Linked DNA regions of Mus musculus. The protein of the gene in region 2 purifies or fractionates together with the protein of the main gene of each other region. This does not show direct contact. Links are inferred from orthologs where the notes say so. Each region holds a gene or a part of one and is shown on either strand. Other genes may lie near its edges. The genes, in order: Dpf2 and Smarca2.

Evidence for each region.
Region 1: the proteins of Smarca2 (region 2) and Dpf2 purify together in Homo sapiens (affinity purification with mass spectrometry; 6 studies listed by BioGRID and IntAct, counting the BioPlex papers as one, with this or other methods). This does not show direct contact. The link is inferred for Mus musculus from reciprocal best matches to the Homo sapiens genes SMARCA2 and DPF2.

Annotation. Positions count from the first base shown.
Region 1 is NC_000085.6:5,897,405-5,905,737, forward strand, and holds part of Dpf2 (zinc finger protein ubi-d4), read right to left. Parts: intron 8,149-8,333; coding exon 7,985-8,148; intron 7,143-7,984; coding exon 7,050-7,142; intron 6,915-7,049; coding exon 6,836-6,914; intron 6,369-6,835; coding exon of another isoform or gene 6,327-6,368; intron 5,365-6,326; coding exon 5,227-5,364; intron 5,088-5,226; coding exon 4,959-5,087; intron 4,813-4,958; coding exon 4,700-4,812; intron 3,895-4,699; coding exon 3,813-3,894; intron 1,228-3,812; coding exon 1,151-1,227; 3' UTR 1-1,150. UniProt on the Homo sapiens protein: Plays an active role in transcriptional regulation by binding modified histones H3 and H4. Is a negative regulator of myeloid differentiation of hematopoietic progenitor cells. Might also have a role in the development and maturation of lymphoid cells.
Region 2 is NC_000085.6:26,773,699-26,781,265, reverse strand, and holds the end of Smarca2 (probable global transcription activator SNF2L2), read right to left. Parts: intron 7,094-7,567; coding exon 6,961-7,093; intron 6,229-6,960; exon of another isoform or gene 6,111-6,228; intron 5,347-6,110; exon of another isoform or gene 5,166-5,346; coding exon 5,023-5,165; intron 3,932-5,022; coding exon 3,896-3,931; 3' UTR 2,945-3,895; downstream 1-2,944. UniProt on the Homo sapiens protein: ATPase involved in transcriptional activation and repression of select genes by chromatin remodeling (alteration of DNA-nucleosome topology).

The DNA.
Region 1 (8,333 bases), about 21 Mb from region 2:
TTTTACTAATGTTTTGAATACAGGAACTAAATATGCGAGGGGGGGCCCTCAACTTTGCAGAAAACAGTTAGGGCCTGCCCACAGCCAAGGGGGAAGCCCACTCTCTAGAGTACTGCAGAGGACTGTCCCCTCCTACTTAATGTCAGTGCCACTAAGCAGGAAACAGAAAACTCAGGGTGTGAAGACCTTACCAGCTACTAGCTAGCGTGCAAGGAAAGGGGACCATCCTGTGTCCTGGGAGCCAGGATACACAGGCAGGAGGCAGAGGCTCCTAATTTAGTTAAGGACAGGAGGCTGAATGCCCAGGTTCAGGAAGAACAAAAAGGGAATTTTGGAGGTAGGCTTTTTTATCGAGTTAAAAAACAGGCACATTATCCAACTTCTCCCTGTGGCCCCCAAGCTGCTGGCCCAGCCCCTGACACTATCCCTCTCCCTACAAAAGCAAAGGGACTAAGGATGGGGGCAGAAGATGGGAAGTTCTGAGGATAGGAAATGTCTGGGTAGCCAGAGCGCACCTGTGAGCAAGCCACCAAGCACAGGGAGGACAGGTTTGAAGCTGCTCGTCCCTTTGTGGGACAGGGCAGAGCCAGGAGGTGCCCGAGAACATTCTAGCTCAAGCACAGAACCCCATGTAGCATGACAGAGGACAGGGGACTGCTTTGGCAGGAGGCAAAGGGAAGCAGAACTAGGGTATGAAAAGGTCCTGGCAAGTGCCACTCAGCCAGCTCACTCCAGCTGCTTCCAGGAAAGGCCCAGCCTGGCTCATCTCTGGGGCAAAACCCTGGAAACCAAAGGGGGTTTGGGGGAAGAGGGGTGGGCAAGGCTTGAGACAAGTGAGCTGCTCTCATATTCCTTCTCAGAGGACCCCATTTGAGCCCTGTAATCACCAGGGTCTTAGGCCCAAGGCAGGCAGAGTGAATGCACTTCTTGGAGAGCAGAGAGAAGTTGGACCCACAGGTCAGCCCTGGAGCAGCACGCTGCTCCTTACTCCCTGAGGGCTCGGGGCTAGAGGCAGTCAGAGCTGCCACCTCCCTGTGCTGTTGCCAACGGAGGTTGGCAGGACTACAGAGTGAAAGAGGAGAGAGGGGCAATGGAAACCAAGGTAGAGAGGAGAGCAACGGCCTTAGATGCAGGGGAGCTGGGTGGCACATCAGGAGGAGTTCTGGTTCTGGTAGATGGATGCTTTCTCCTTCAGCAGATCCAGACACAGGTGGCAACTCCAACTTCCTACAGAGAAGCAGAGGGGTCAGGGTAGATCCCACAGAATCCTCCTCAGACCTCACTCCAGGTAGGACAGGGGGAGTTCTGCAGCAGCAACTTCATTGTTCTCCTGAGCTGAGGGAACTGCTTAGTCTTCAAAACCATGAAAATTCGAACCAGAGATGGCTCAGCAGTCAAAGAAGATGTGGTTCGGTTCCCAGCACCCACTTGGTGGTTCACAGCCACCCACAACTCCATCTACAGGGACCTGATGATCCCTCCTCTGACCCCCAAAGGCATCAGCTACTCATGCAGTAGACTGACATACATGTAGACAAAATACTCTTAACATACACTAAAAATACACATGAAAACCATTCTCTATGAGCACACTGAGTGCAAGGACAGTCCCCAAACAATGCCAGACCCTCTTGTCACTTCAGTGGCCCATGGGCTCACAGGACAATCTGAGCAGACACAAGTGTTTTGGGTTTTTTTTTTTTTTTTTTTTTTTTTAAGATTTTTTATTTATTATTATATATAAGTACACTGTAGCTATCTTCAGACACACCAGAAGAGGGAGTCAGGTCTTGTTACGGATGGTTGTGAGCCACCATGTGGTTGCTGGGATTTGAACTCTGGACCTTCGGAAGAGCAGTCGGGTGCTCTTACCTGCTGAGCCATCTCACCAGCCCCTTTTTTTTTTTTTTTTTTTTTGATAACTTATTAAATTTATTTATTTGGGGGCATTTGCCACAGCATGCAGGTGAAAGACAACTTGTGGAGTCTAAACTCAGATTGTCCAGGCTTGGTTGCAAGTGCTTTACCTGCTGAGCCATCTTGCCAGCCTAGTCAAAGATTGTTAAAATGCTCCCAATTTTGGACAAAAAAAGTCATTGCCTCAAAGGTTGAAAAAAGGTCATGAAAAGAGACTTCAGAGAAACTACTATATTTTATCTCCAAGACAGTTTTTCTGCTTAGTCTTGGCTGTCCTGAAACTCACTCTGTAGACCATGCTGGCCTTGAACTCAGAGACTCGCCTTTCACTGCAAGTGAACTGGGGTGCCAACATCTCTGGGTGTTTCAGCAGAAAACAGAGAAAGAAGTGAACTTGTGTATCCCCCAAGCACCCCTTATCACCCAAGCCTAATTTCATAGAGAAACAGGAAATAACCAGGCACAGTGGTGCACACCTATGACTGCAGCTCTTAGGGAACAGAGGTAGATCTCTTTTGAGTAATTACCCTGCCTAAAAAACTAAACAAACAACAACAACAAAAATAAATAAAAAATAAAAATAAAGAAAAAGAAAACTGATAAACAGAAAATAATTGTTCTGTGCAAGAAAAATAGCTTGCTAAAACATTATTGGTATTTATTTCAGTTTGATCCGTTTTCTTGAGAAGTAAAACTACTTATTTTGAGGATAGGGGGTTGCGAACAAGGTTTCTTTATGTAGCCCTGGCTATCCTGGAACTAGCTCTATATTCCAGGCTGGCCTTGAACTCCGAAATCCACCTGCCTATACCTCCTGAGTGCTGTGATTAAAGGCACACTACCACCACCTGGCTAAATCTTAATATAGAATATACAAGCATAATTTTATGTATGTGGTTTGGAGAATACTCCAGAGGAAATAGCTTATCTCTCCAAAGACATATGATTGCATCAAGTCTAACCCAACTGTTCTAGAGACGGAGACAGGAGGATTTCAAGTTCAAGGGCTGGCTACCTGGGCTACCAAGCTAGCTCAGGCTACCTTATGCAACTTAGTGAGACCCTGTCTCAAAACAAAAAGTACAAGTGTGGGATGGAGAGACGGCTCGAAGCCTGATGACCTGATCCTCTCCAGAGCCCACAGTGAATGGAGACTTGACTTCTACACAAGTGCTATGGATCAACTGTACAGCACTCTGAATAAAAAAATGGCAAGAGGGCTGGTGAGATGGCTCAGCGGTTAGAGCACCCGACTGCTGTTCCAAAGGTCCTGAGTTCAAATCCCAGCAACCACATGGTGGCTCACAACCATCCATAATGAGATCTGATGCCCTCTTCTGTGGTGTCTGAAGACAGCTACAGTGAACTTACATATAATAAATCAATCAATCAATAAATAAATAAAAATGGCAAGAGTTAGGGATATAGGGAGATAGCTCAGCAGTGGGACATTTGGCCAGCATGTACAGGATTCTGGGTTCTATCTCTAGTACTACAAAAAGCAAAAGAAAGAAAATAAGCCCTTTGTAGTACTAAGATAGAAAAGATCTGTGCACAGGTACATGCCTGGTATCTGCAGAGGCCAGAGAAGGAGACTGTGCAACTGGAATTACAGACCATGGTGAATGGCCAACAGGTGACAGAAACTGAACCAAGGCTCTCTGGAGGATCATTCAGTGCTCTTAACTGCTGAGCCACTTCTCCAGACTCATTAAATGTTTGCTTTAATCTACCACATGTCATTCTATTATGAAATCTATGCTGTTAGACATAGAATGCTGAAACCCATACAATTACAGGTCTATGATAAGTCACAAATTTCAGTATCGATATTTTACTTGAGTGCTGTGGATCTTTCTGGGATAAAGTATTTTGAGTAGATCCAGGCCACTTACCTTCAGGAGGCTCAGACATGGAAGGAGTGAGACAGTACATGTGGTAGCCACGGTCACAGTCATCACAGAAAAGTAGCTGGTCCTGCAGAAGTAAGGAGAACGAACAAAGGTGCAATGGTTTATGTGCCTAAGTTACGACACTGCTGCTGCTTCCAAGAGGGACTAGTAGCAGCAAAGGTCGATTGTCAGTCTGTCCATCACAGTCTATCTGGACTCTAACAGATCACAAAGCCTACTATTTCCCTACAATCTTTTCTCCACAGAGCTGCCAGTTACCTTTTGAAAAGATGAGACAGAGCATATAACCCCCTTAATAAAGAGCCTCAGATAACATCCTCAAGGTCTAAGCATAGGGCAGAGCTTAGGTGCTTAATGTGCACCAGGTCCAGGACTCCTCACTGAGCTCAAATGGTCCCAAGATCCTACAAAGTCCCGCCGAGCCCTGCCTCTGTTCACCTTCCCACCACAGGAAAGATCTAGTGGATAACAATGGCCTCATTACAGCCAGCTGGCCCACCTTAAGGCCTCTGCACTAGCCATACTTTCTGGGACTGGCTCCTTGTATTATCCAAACTCCAACAGCAACCTCACTTCCTCCAGAAGCAAATACAGCTACAAACCTCTATCAGCATCCAGTTAACTCTTTGGCACATGACTAGTTTCATTTTCTTCAAGGTGTATCATACAAAACTCTGTTTCCCCAAGTACACAAATTCTATCAAAGCACTAACTTCTCTGTCTTATTTATTGACCCGAGAGCTAAGAACACTGTCTGACTGTTGGTGCCCAAGAAACAGATATTTTAAAACAAGTATAAAGTTCCCAGGAGGGAGTTAGGGAGGAGCAGGTGCCTTCTGACGGAGCCAGGCAGGCTCAGCGACACTCACATCGTTCTCCGACGTGCCGCAGAGGTTGCAGCACTTGCATTCGATGCACTGCCAGCGGTAGGTCTTCACGGCCGCCATCATCACAGGGGTGAACTGCAGGCAGGACGGATGCCCTGTGGAGGAGGGGAGTCAAGTAAGTGGTTGGAAACCAGGGTGGGGAGTGGGTAAGGGAGGTTGCCTGATTATAACAGCACTCAAGGAAGCAGCCCAGGAGGTTCCTGGGCACGGAGTACAGTCTGCTCTTTGAGGATGGAGGTACCTGAGCGGCCACAGTCGGAACAGGACACTAGCTCCTCGGGCTGCCCTGTCTTCTTGTTGATTTTTGAGTCTCCTAGGCAGAAGTCACAGTAGTTGTTAGGCAGGGCCAATCCATCAGGTCCTTTCTTGGCTATAGGGAAAAAGAAAAAAATTCTGATGATTCTCAAGGGAACCCTGGGATATCCTCCACTCTCTCTATGAACTCTATGAAGGCTTTTATAAACAGGCTGCTTCCTCTCCTGCGTGCCTGCCCTGACAGCTCAGCTTACATTTCTGCTCCTCAGACCTCTGGGACACAGGAGTGGGGGGTCGGGAGTCTTCTTTGTCCTCTCCTTCCTCTTCAGCCAGGTGGGAGTGGGCATAGTGGTAACTGAGGCCAGGTCGGTTCTTGTAACGTTTTCCACAAACTGGGCGGGAGAAAGATTGCAGAGAACTATTAGGACACAAAGGTGCTACTTCTCCACTCTGACAAGCTCTGAAGCTCCAAATGAGGCCCATGGGACATCTCTGCCCCCAGTATCTCTACTCTGGGACAAGCTTTAGTGATGGCCCCTTCCCCTCAGCCAAGAGCATCAGTCTCTGGACCTCTTTAGTTTCTTGGATTCTCTTCCCTCTCTAAAACACAATAGCTACCGACATTTTTCTATGCTGGCTTTTAGAAGGACTTAACCCATGCTGCATCAACTTGCCCCAGAAGTAGTAACCGTCTGGGAGCTCCAGGTCTGTAAAGTTCTACAGTCTGGCCTATGGCAAAAGGGGAAACGTAACAAAGAGATGTCAGCCTCTTTTTCTGCCATGTAAATGTGGCAGGTTCATGCCACCCTGTGTGTACCAATCCCAACTAAACAGATGAAAGGCTGAGGGTGGGTTTCTTGGTGAACACTTACTAACTGCCAGCCAGGATAACTTCCCCAAAGAAACTGAAATACATCCCCACACTAGTGCCCTGCCCAGCCCCTGCCAACCAGCAAGGAAAGATTACATGGCATTTTATCTTGAGCAATGACACCAAGAGGGGTAAGGGGGCCAGCAGGAAGGAATGGGAGGATGGGAGGAGGTGGCGGCATGACGGTGGAAGCATGAGCTGACCACCTGCTGTCTGGTTGGGGAACATCAGATGACATCTATCCATAAGGGGTTCTGTTAATACTAGGCCAAGTGACCATAGGAGTAAGTCTGTGGGAGATAAGCAATGGTAAAGACAGCTGCTAGGACTGAGAACGGAGCACACCTGGGGTTCCACAGCACTACCCTCATACCGTTGCAGAGATTCCAAAGCCAGTATCACAGGAAATGAGAAAGGCAGGAGGAACAGGGGAAGAGGGAAAAGGGACAGGAAAACACAAGTCTGAAAAGTTGAGAGAGCTACCTCTCTGGGGCGCTTTCGAGGTATGCTTTTGTTTGAAACTATCTGAAAGACAGAAAGAAAAGTCATGAGAAGAAGGCCTTGATACATTTGAGACAGGGCGGCAGCAGCAGGAAAACAGAGCGAGTGAGAGAGGACCCCAGCAGTGGCACTTCAGGCTGGAGGCACAGAAGTAGGGTAAGCCAAAGCAAAGGGACAGAGGACAGACACTAACCCTCAGGGCTGGCTCCCTGTGCCCTGCCTTGATGGGGCAGCAGATCTGGATGCTGCCCACTGTGAGGCCAACCCTGTCTGCTTTGAGTTCCCTCATCCTCCCATCCCAGGACCCATAGAAACCTCGCCCCAGAGCATGCAGGTCCCACCCACTGTTAAGCAAAGGCCAGGTTGGCAGGCAGGACAAAAACCCAGGCTTGTTTTACCATTCAGTGCAAGACCATGGCCCGCCCTCCTCTCACATCCAGAGCAGGAGCTGGGTCCAAGCGAGAACTACCCATCCCTCAGGTGGCACTCACTGTCACAGGCATAGGGCTTATCCCGGTCCTCCAGGATGGAAGCATCCAGCTTCTTCCGGGCACTGCTCACACCCTTACTCTGCCAAGAAAACCAAAACGATGACGATGCCCTCACCAACGTGCCTTGGCTAGAAGAGCAAGGCAGAAAGCAAAACTAAAGGCTGGTCTCTGAAGACCGGCCGGCCTCCTTCTTAGGAGCACGTTAGCTTCTCACCTTGGACTTCCCCTTCCCCCGACGCTTTGGCGTATCTTCTTCATAGTCCTCATCATCAAGGTCATCAAGGAAGTCATCGGGTTCAATGATCCGCTGAGTGGAGCACAACATGTGAATGAGCGGAACTCAAACACATCCCAAAGCGCCCTCATGATAGAGAATTAGCCACTTGGAACCACCCAGAAGCTCCTGTGGGGCTTAGCCTTACCCAGAACCGTTCCTCACCCTGCACCCCAGTCCTGCTTCCGTGAATGCTTGCTTTCCACTGTGCCTCTTCAAGTTGCTCCCTTAATCTAGAATGCCTGTCCCCCATCTCTCAGAGCCCAAACAGTTTCCATAAAGCTCTCTGGTACCCCAGGCAGCCACATCCTGTCCTGCCTGCTCTGCTTCCAACTTTCATGTCCTACTTTCAATGAGTTTTGCTGCTTACTTGACCTTGAGGAAGTTTTTAACTGTTTTGCTTCTGCCTCCTTGTCCATGAAATGGGAACCACAGGACCTACCTCACAAGGCTATACAAGAGGAAGCATACGGAAAAATACTTAGCACAGTATCTGGCTTATCTGTAGCTATTCTCATCTTTAAACTTAGCATAACTTCCCAGTTGACAGGTGTGAACCAACTGTGCTTCACCTACGTAACTCCAGGTATCTAAGTCTCTAACAAAACCTTGTGAGAGAGAGCGTGGGTGAGCCTGTACTGGGAAGAGGAGTGTAGAAGGCTAGGCAGTCAGGGCTGGTGGCCAGCAGAGCACAGGACTGCAGGGCAACTTCAGCTTCCATTCCAGCTGTTTTTGGTTTTTGTGCTAGGGCTTACATACACATCAACAAGCATGTGTCCTACCATGTTCTGCTTCAATTCTAACTGGACAAACCTCCCAACCCACAAAGAAGAGGCTGGTCCTATTAAAGTCCTCTAGCCATGGCAATAACAGACCTTCCGTGCTCGACTGTTGCTAACAGGAAACTCGCCCAGGCTGTCATCGTCAACTCGGGGATCTGGGGCACCCCGTTTCTCCAGGGGATCAGTACGCAACAGAGCCTCTAAACTGCTGCCATCCTGAGAGATAAGCCCCTCTTTCTTCAGAGTCTGGTCAGTGTCTGCAACAAGCCAAGACGAAGCTAACTGAGAAGGGCTGAAGCTGAACCTACACCATGTGGGGCCAAGTCAAACCCAGCCACTTCCGTTCTCCAGGAACCGAGACGATCTGTTCAGCCGGCCCTGGAATACAGCTTTACTTACCTGTTTTCACTAAGCCAGCAAGCTCCGGGAGGGACGAAAGCAC
Region 2 (7,567 bases):
AAGATATTTCCCACTCCTAGGGCTCACCATGACTCTACTTGAGTGGGTCTCAGATGAACCTGCGTCCCGTGTGCCCAAGTGATGCTGATTTTGTGGGTCCAGGGAACAACACTGAAACATTGATTTTGAAACCATCAATGCTTGATGAGCTTTTGAGAGTGGTTCTCAACCTGTGGAACTCGACCCCTTTGAGGGGTGGCCCGATGAGCTTTTCTGACAGTGATTCTCAACTGGTGGGATGCGACCCCTTTAAGGGTCACATATCAGATATCCTGCATATCCGATATTTACATTACAATTCACAACAGAAAAAATTACAGTTGTGAAGTAGCAATGAAATAATTGTATGATTGGGAGGGGGAGGTCAGTTCAATATGAGGAACTGTTTTAAAGGGCCAGCATTAAGAAGGCAGAGAGCCACTGCTTTATAAACCACCTCTTAGTTCTATGAATCTTTCTGGTATTCCTTAATGCCATTTATAAGTTATTTTTCCCTAAATAGTGGAAACCTTTAATAACAAAGCTGTATATGAACTATAACCCTGGACTTATAGACAACTCACTCCATATTTTGCAGAGGATATTGAAACTCATGTATGGCTGGGGCAAAGCCAGGAACAACCCACACATTTGAGTCTAAGTCAGGGTTATGACCTCAGTTTCTGAACTAAAACAAACAAACAAACAAACAAAACCAAAAAATCTTAAAGAAGAAGTACCTTTAAAACAGAGGCCTTAATAGCCTTCCCAGGCATGCCTGCTACAGTGCACACATCGCCCAATGATCTTCCAGATACAACAGTGGCCCCATAGAAGAAGCTGACAAAGGTTGTTGCCATCTGTTTTCATAAGAATAATCTATTATTCATAGAGCAACACATCATGTGACAGCATTTCCCCCAAAGCATTGTGCTGTTGAAGGAAATGTGGCCATATCTGGCACACTTTGATGACACCAGCATATTTCACCCTAAAAGGCAGACCTATGAAAATGACCTCATTTGAGGCCACGAAGCCCATGCTCTGAGCTCAGGCTAAGACAGTCCAGGTGTGTGCCAAGCTAGGGACACTGAAACCAACTCTCTGGGGGACTTAGCTAAGAGAGCAAGGTGTGGCAATGCCCCCAGGACCTGATGGTGGAAGGGTAACACCACTGTTTGCATGGGTGAAGTGCTTAGCGATATCTTCTACACAATGTATACCTGGAGAGCTTGCTTGACAAAGCTATTTGGTAGCCCTCCTTTCCCACAGGGACACATCCTAAGATCCCCTCTGGAACCACCAACAGTACTGATCTTGCTATAAAATATCCATGAAATATATATGAAGTCCAATTTATAAAGCAGGCAGAGAAAGGCTTAACTAGTAGGAAACAGTACAGTTTGGACATTATTTTGACGTAGTTTGGATCTTGAATGTCCCCCAAAGGCTTATGTCTTAAAGGCTTACATTTCTCCAGGAGGTGCTTTGGAGGGGTGGGGGGTAGCCATAGCTTGAGCAAGTGGGCCCTGGCATGAGATCTTGTGATCACTGGTGGCATAATTCTGTAGGGAACTGTGGGGCCCTGGTCCCTCTCTCTTGGTCTCAGGCATTTCATTGTCCTGTGGAGCCTTCGCCAGAATAGAGTGAACTGATTGTGGCCTGAAAGCTCCAAAAGTGTGAGCTGACAAAGCCTTTGTGAGTTCATTATCTCAAGCATTTGTTGTTTCCCTCCCCCCCTCTCTCTCCCTCTCCCCAACTCTCACATATCAATACCATATTATACTGACCCTTTCAGGGATCATGAGATGATGCAGTGCGTACAAAAAAAAGCTCAAGTGGCGAACGATGTGGACTTAGGGTACTGTTGATCTTGTTAACTGAAGAAGCACAGCAGTACTATGAGTTGATGGGATGACTAGCGGGTGGGTAGCATATACGGCATAGAGACGGTGGACAATGGGATACGTCCTGTACCGGGCAGGGAGAACAGTTCAGCAAATGCAGCAGGAGGAAGAGGGAGCACACACACCAGGCAGAGAAGGCTTGGACCAGAAAAACAATGGTTTGGCTCACCTTCCAACTGCAGGGCCTCCAAAGCCAAGAACAGCACAGAAAATACAGAAATGAAAGCAAAGGGGGGAGGCGCTGTTTTCTTTGAACTGATATTAAGTGGTCTCAGAGTGGAAAGTTAATATGGCTTCTCTCTGAAGTCTCCATTCCTACCGCAGTAAGTAAATCCCATAAGCAAACCCCCAAAAAAGAAATATAATATTCCGGAATGCTCCGAGTAGCTGGGAAGTCAGAGCAGACATGACGGGAAGATGAAGCTTCGTAGGACTGTGGTCTGATATGGCACTGGAAAGCTCACCTAGCGCAATCTTACCTGCTCCTTAGGAAAATGTTAACCCTCCTTAGTGGCGTGGAAAACTTCCATTTGACTTTGCTGGCAGTTCCTTGGGAAGGATGCACCAGTCTCGGGGCTGGCTTTTTAAGGACTTTAAAAAGACATCAAGACATATGATTGAAAACCCAAACACAAATTTAGGGCAACTGGCAGATATGCTAGCGACTGGTCTACTAACTATTAGAGGAAGGGTGTTAATCCCTTCTGCTTGACAGTGGGACTGTGGGTGCCTGCTCTTGTGACTTATATCCTCATGGCTTATTAAAACAAGGCACACTGCAAAAAATTTTGTTAAATCTTAGTGGGAAGGGCATATGGGTAGTGACTGAGCCAGTCTCCACATTACCTACCTTTATAGATTTTTCTGACTAATGAATGAAATTTAAAGCCAGGAGGCAAAGGTTGACTGGCAGCAGCCTCTCTTTTAGCCAGAAAAGCAATGATCTCGCCCCTCCCCCATATGATCTGTATGACAAGGCTCTTCTCTATCTGCAGATAGCTCTTGCTCACACCCAGAGGTTTAGTGCCCTAGCGCTCATAAAAGAAAAGGCGACAGAGTCAAGGTACGTTATCGGTTTATTAGGAAAGTACCAACACCACATTCTTGGAAATTACTGGAATTTTATTTGCCTCAGGCTTATGACTTGCAACCAAAGACATTGTGCAAAGAAAGCAAAGATTAAGTACACTTTCGGGAGAAGGAGACCATACACATTGGTAACACGGGAGATCGGGTGGACAAGAGAAGCCATCCAGGGTATTCTAGACACTGTAATACTCAATAGCATTGTCAATAAAACAAGAACAAAAAAAAATTCCGCAATGTTTACAGTAGACATAAATCTTATACAAGTCAAAAAGCTTTTTTTTTTGTTCTTCAGATCATAGAGCATAAAATGGAAAAATGTATATGTAGGTGATATCTAACTACTGTACATTTGTCACTAGTCAAGTTGCTTATATGTACCACAGTGTAAAAAAGAGAAAAGAGAAAACCAACAATACTGAAACAAATGAAAATCTTGAAAATCGCCTGATGAAAAACAAAATAACCAGTGGCTTTGAATGGTTCCTCCCGGCCATCAGCACTGCAGAAGATAAAAATCTTCTCATCAGAACAGATGACAGAACCCAGCACATCAAACTGCTACCAAACCTGACCCACCTGTAGAAATATACTATCCACCCACATCTTTTCCATCAAAAGCTTTTTGTTTTTAATCTTTGAATCTTTGAGGCCCATTTGGTCACAATATGTTACAAATATGTGTGTGTGTGTGTGTGTGTGTGTGTGTGTGTGTGTGTAGTGTGTCTGCACGCATGTGTTTCTTTTTTTACACCATGATATCATATGTTTGTCTGGCACTACCCTAAAGCTAGTTCTAGATGACAATGAGGACGGAGAAATAACCCAGTGTGCCCGAATGGCAAGTGAACTCACTGGGGAGGAAGGAGAGGGGGAAGAAAGCATTCGGTTCTGCCACCGCGGGAAGCTCACGTCCAGGATGGTCACTCGTTATCAGTTCCACTTGCTTCTGACTGTTCCTAAAAGAAAGAGGTAGACAGACTGAGCGCACTACAGCCCTTTCTGTGGAAAGACAGACTCTAGAGGAATGGGTACCCTCTATGCCCCCATGGCGAGTGCTGCATTAGCAAACCCAAGGCGATGCCTGCCAGCTGCATCTGCTGTTTGCCACTGGCGACGTCTCTTCAGAAGAGAAGTCTAACTTTCGCTAACCAGTTCTACCTTTGTCTGAGCTTGGGAAACCTGTCCCATGACAAGAATAAGATCATGCTTTGGATGTCTGCTCATTGGTAAGTCATCTCAAGGAAACATGGTGTTTCAAATGTAACCGAAATCTAGTAAGCCAGGTTCTAGAACTTCCCGATCCTGCCGGAGTAGCAAAGTGTTAAAGGAAAATCAAATTCACTTATGTACCAAGATGGAAAACTGTCTTTCCAGAATGAGAGCTGTGTAGGGGTTGTCATGTTGGGGAAGCTGAGCTGCTGTGGGACTGGCCAAGTTTCTGTCTGTTGTTCCCCAAGACCGGCAGAGTCAACAGTGTTAGACTGAGGAAGCTCCTGGCGTCTGGATTCAGACCCTACCATTCACTCCCTCGGAACCCTCAGAGTACCCTGGACCCAAAGTGATATCTATGAGACGATGCTAATATAAACGTTAACTATTCCTCAGATTGGAAGGTGCTGGTTTGATAAAATACTTCCTAAAATTTTCCTGATAAGAATAAAGCCTCTGGGTATTTAATCTCAGGCATCGCAGCTAAAACCTCCGCCGCCACAATGCCTTTCCTTTCCCCCCTCTAACCATTATTTTATCTGAACTGCTATATACTCACAGCAAGCTGGGTATGAGAGATATAAAATATTAACCAGCCATGAAGAAAACTGCATTTGCACGTACGTGTACTGGAAGATTGAAAAGGGGAATTGCAATGGAGAGCTTTTCATTTCTACAGCAACACGAGCAGCTTTAGATTCTTTGTTCTAAATTTCACTCAACATGACTCCCTTTCCCAGGCCTCCTCCTCCTGCTCGGCCTAAGTGAGGACTGTGTACCCCAAGAGGGCCTGGGACCTGGAGCACGCAGCCGCCTCTGCCCCGGCCTGTACACTCACGTTCTCTTCCTGTTCCTCGTCACTGTCAAAATCGCTCACGACGGGTTTGGCTTTGCCTCGGTTTGGCCGCTTCTTGCCCTTCCCTGTGTCCCGGCCTTTCTCTTCCTTTTTATTCAGCTTGATTTTCACCTTCACAGATTTCGCTAGAGCAGTCACAAGAGAGACCCCAGTGAGAACTCAGTCAAATTATTATTATCCCACCTGTGGATAGCAAGTCCGACTTCCCCCAGTGCTGGAGAGCCTCAGTGGCATGCCATTTCACCCTGCTTGTCTAGATAGCATGCGCCCACCTCTTCTACATGCAAGCTGGTCCCTGTTTGAAAGGTGAGGGACACAGGGGAGGAGGAACTCGGTGTCGGGTGGGGGTGGATCTTTTTCCTGGCTCCCGATGGCTGAGCAGAGCAGTTATCAAATAAAAAAAATTTACATTAATTATTACTAAATCTTATAAAGGGTTGTTTAAAAAAAAAGGATGATTTCACTGTGTGCACTATTTAATTTAAACATTCAAGTAGTAGGATGGGGAGGGACTCAGTGAGGGAGAGACAGATAGGGGGACGGCATTTAGGATGTAAATAAACAAATAAAATAAAAAAATAAAAACTTAAGTCATTTGAGTAGCATTTTTAATGTATACAGACAAAATGACAAGCAAAAATGACAACATGCCTCCCTGACCCCATTTCATGACTCTCTACTGATTATTTCCAGAAAAAAAAAAGCATAGTTTATACCTGTAAATAGTCTATACTCTAGCCAACAAAGAATTCAAATATATATAGACACACATACATGCACAGATATCTGAAGCTTTATTTAGTTAGATAAATCTTCAGGCATGCCCACTGTGCATGGCTTGCCTACACAAGGGAGATAGCCATATGTATCAGCTCACACACGTAGCTTCCTTTCAACCCCTAAAAAGTTCCCACACACCATCTACTCTATAATCAATTTAACCAGTTCCCCAGTGATGGGCGCTACAACAGAGAGAGCCACTGTGAAGCCATGTTGGCAAACTTTGGTGGGGGTACAGTGGTAGCAGCCACACAGGACATTCTAACACTGTCAATTGCATTGTCAGGAAGACTGCAGCCATTTCTGCTCCTGCTCAGAAGAGTGTGACGTGCTATGCCACCTCAGGAACTTCTGGAATAGGCAGCCCACGGCTATGACTCCACGTACTTGAGGATAAGTCACGAAAAGGTGGGTCTACCACATAAGCCAATCCCCGCAATGTTTGTAGATCTCAGGACCGGCTGGATCTATTTCAGTGGGGGTGGGGGATTTGATCACTGCAGAAAGAATACGTGAGCTGAGGCTTCCAATCTCTTTGGGGAAATGTAAGGAAACGGCCTGATTGGAACAGTGAAATTAAGACAGTTTGAAGCATTCGTTAATGTTTTTGGATCTGTTAAGTGTAGAAATGTATGCTACAAAATATCAGAGAACTGGAACACACATCTTCACATCGTATAGATTATGGGACTATACCTTTCACCTTCCAATTCACCTACACTAATTAGCAATAAACCAGATGATGTTTGTGAAATCAGGTCTCTATGCAGACCAAAATTAATAGGCGCACTAAGATCAGTTTGAAAATCGATGCCTGTCTAAGTAAGGCCTGGGTCCAGCAGTGCCCTGTGGGAACACGTAGAGGGCAGGACCTCTCTGACCCAGAAACACTGGGATGGAGCCTCACAGTCTATGTTCCTCAAGCCATGCTACAATGCTTTGCCCGGAGTGACAGGTGCTGTGTACACGAGTGTTATCCTAACATCCAAAGGCCACATGGGCAGTCCTGAGCTCCATGGCTGGTGTGCTTCATTTTAACAGCAGAGAAAACTGGACACAAGCAAGCGGGGCAAGTATATAGTCTTTAGTGTCTGTGGAAACAGCCCCTCGAGTGGGAAGGGCCAGGTGCACGGGACTTACCCTCTGACTCCGACTCCTCTTCATCATCTTCTTCCTCTTCTTCATTGCTTTCTTCCTCACTCTCTTCTTCTTTGGCAATTTTCTGCCGAGCACTCTTAAACACTGACTGTAGGACAATGGAGTCTTCGTAGATCTAAATGGCCAAAGTGTCAGCTGTTAAAATCCAAATGCTGAGTCTGGCAAACCCACAACTGCTGTGTGCACCTCCTTAGTCACTGGCTTCCTTTCCCCATGTGTATAGTATGTGTTCATATGTGTGTGGTCATGTATGTAGATGGCAGGAATGTTCCTTAATCACTATATTAGCTGTCAAGGTAGGATCTCTTCTAGAATTATAGGCTGGACCCCAAACCCATCCCAGATACTGGGAGTCTGAACTGGTCCTCATCCTTGTGTGAGAAATGCTTTAAACACTGAGCCAACTCACCAGGCTACCATTTACTCTTATGAAAGCCCAGAGGCAAAACGGTGAATCCAAATATGGGCACCAAGATACTCAAAGGAAGACCAAAGGCACTGAAATGAAGCTAAAAGAATGGTTGAGGCTGGGTGTCGTGGCATGTGCCTTTAGTCCTTGCACTCGGGAGGCAGGCAGGCAAGTCTCTGA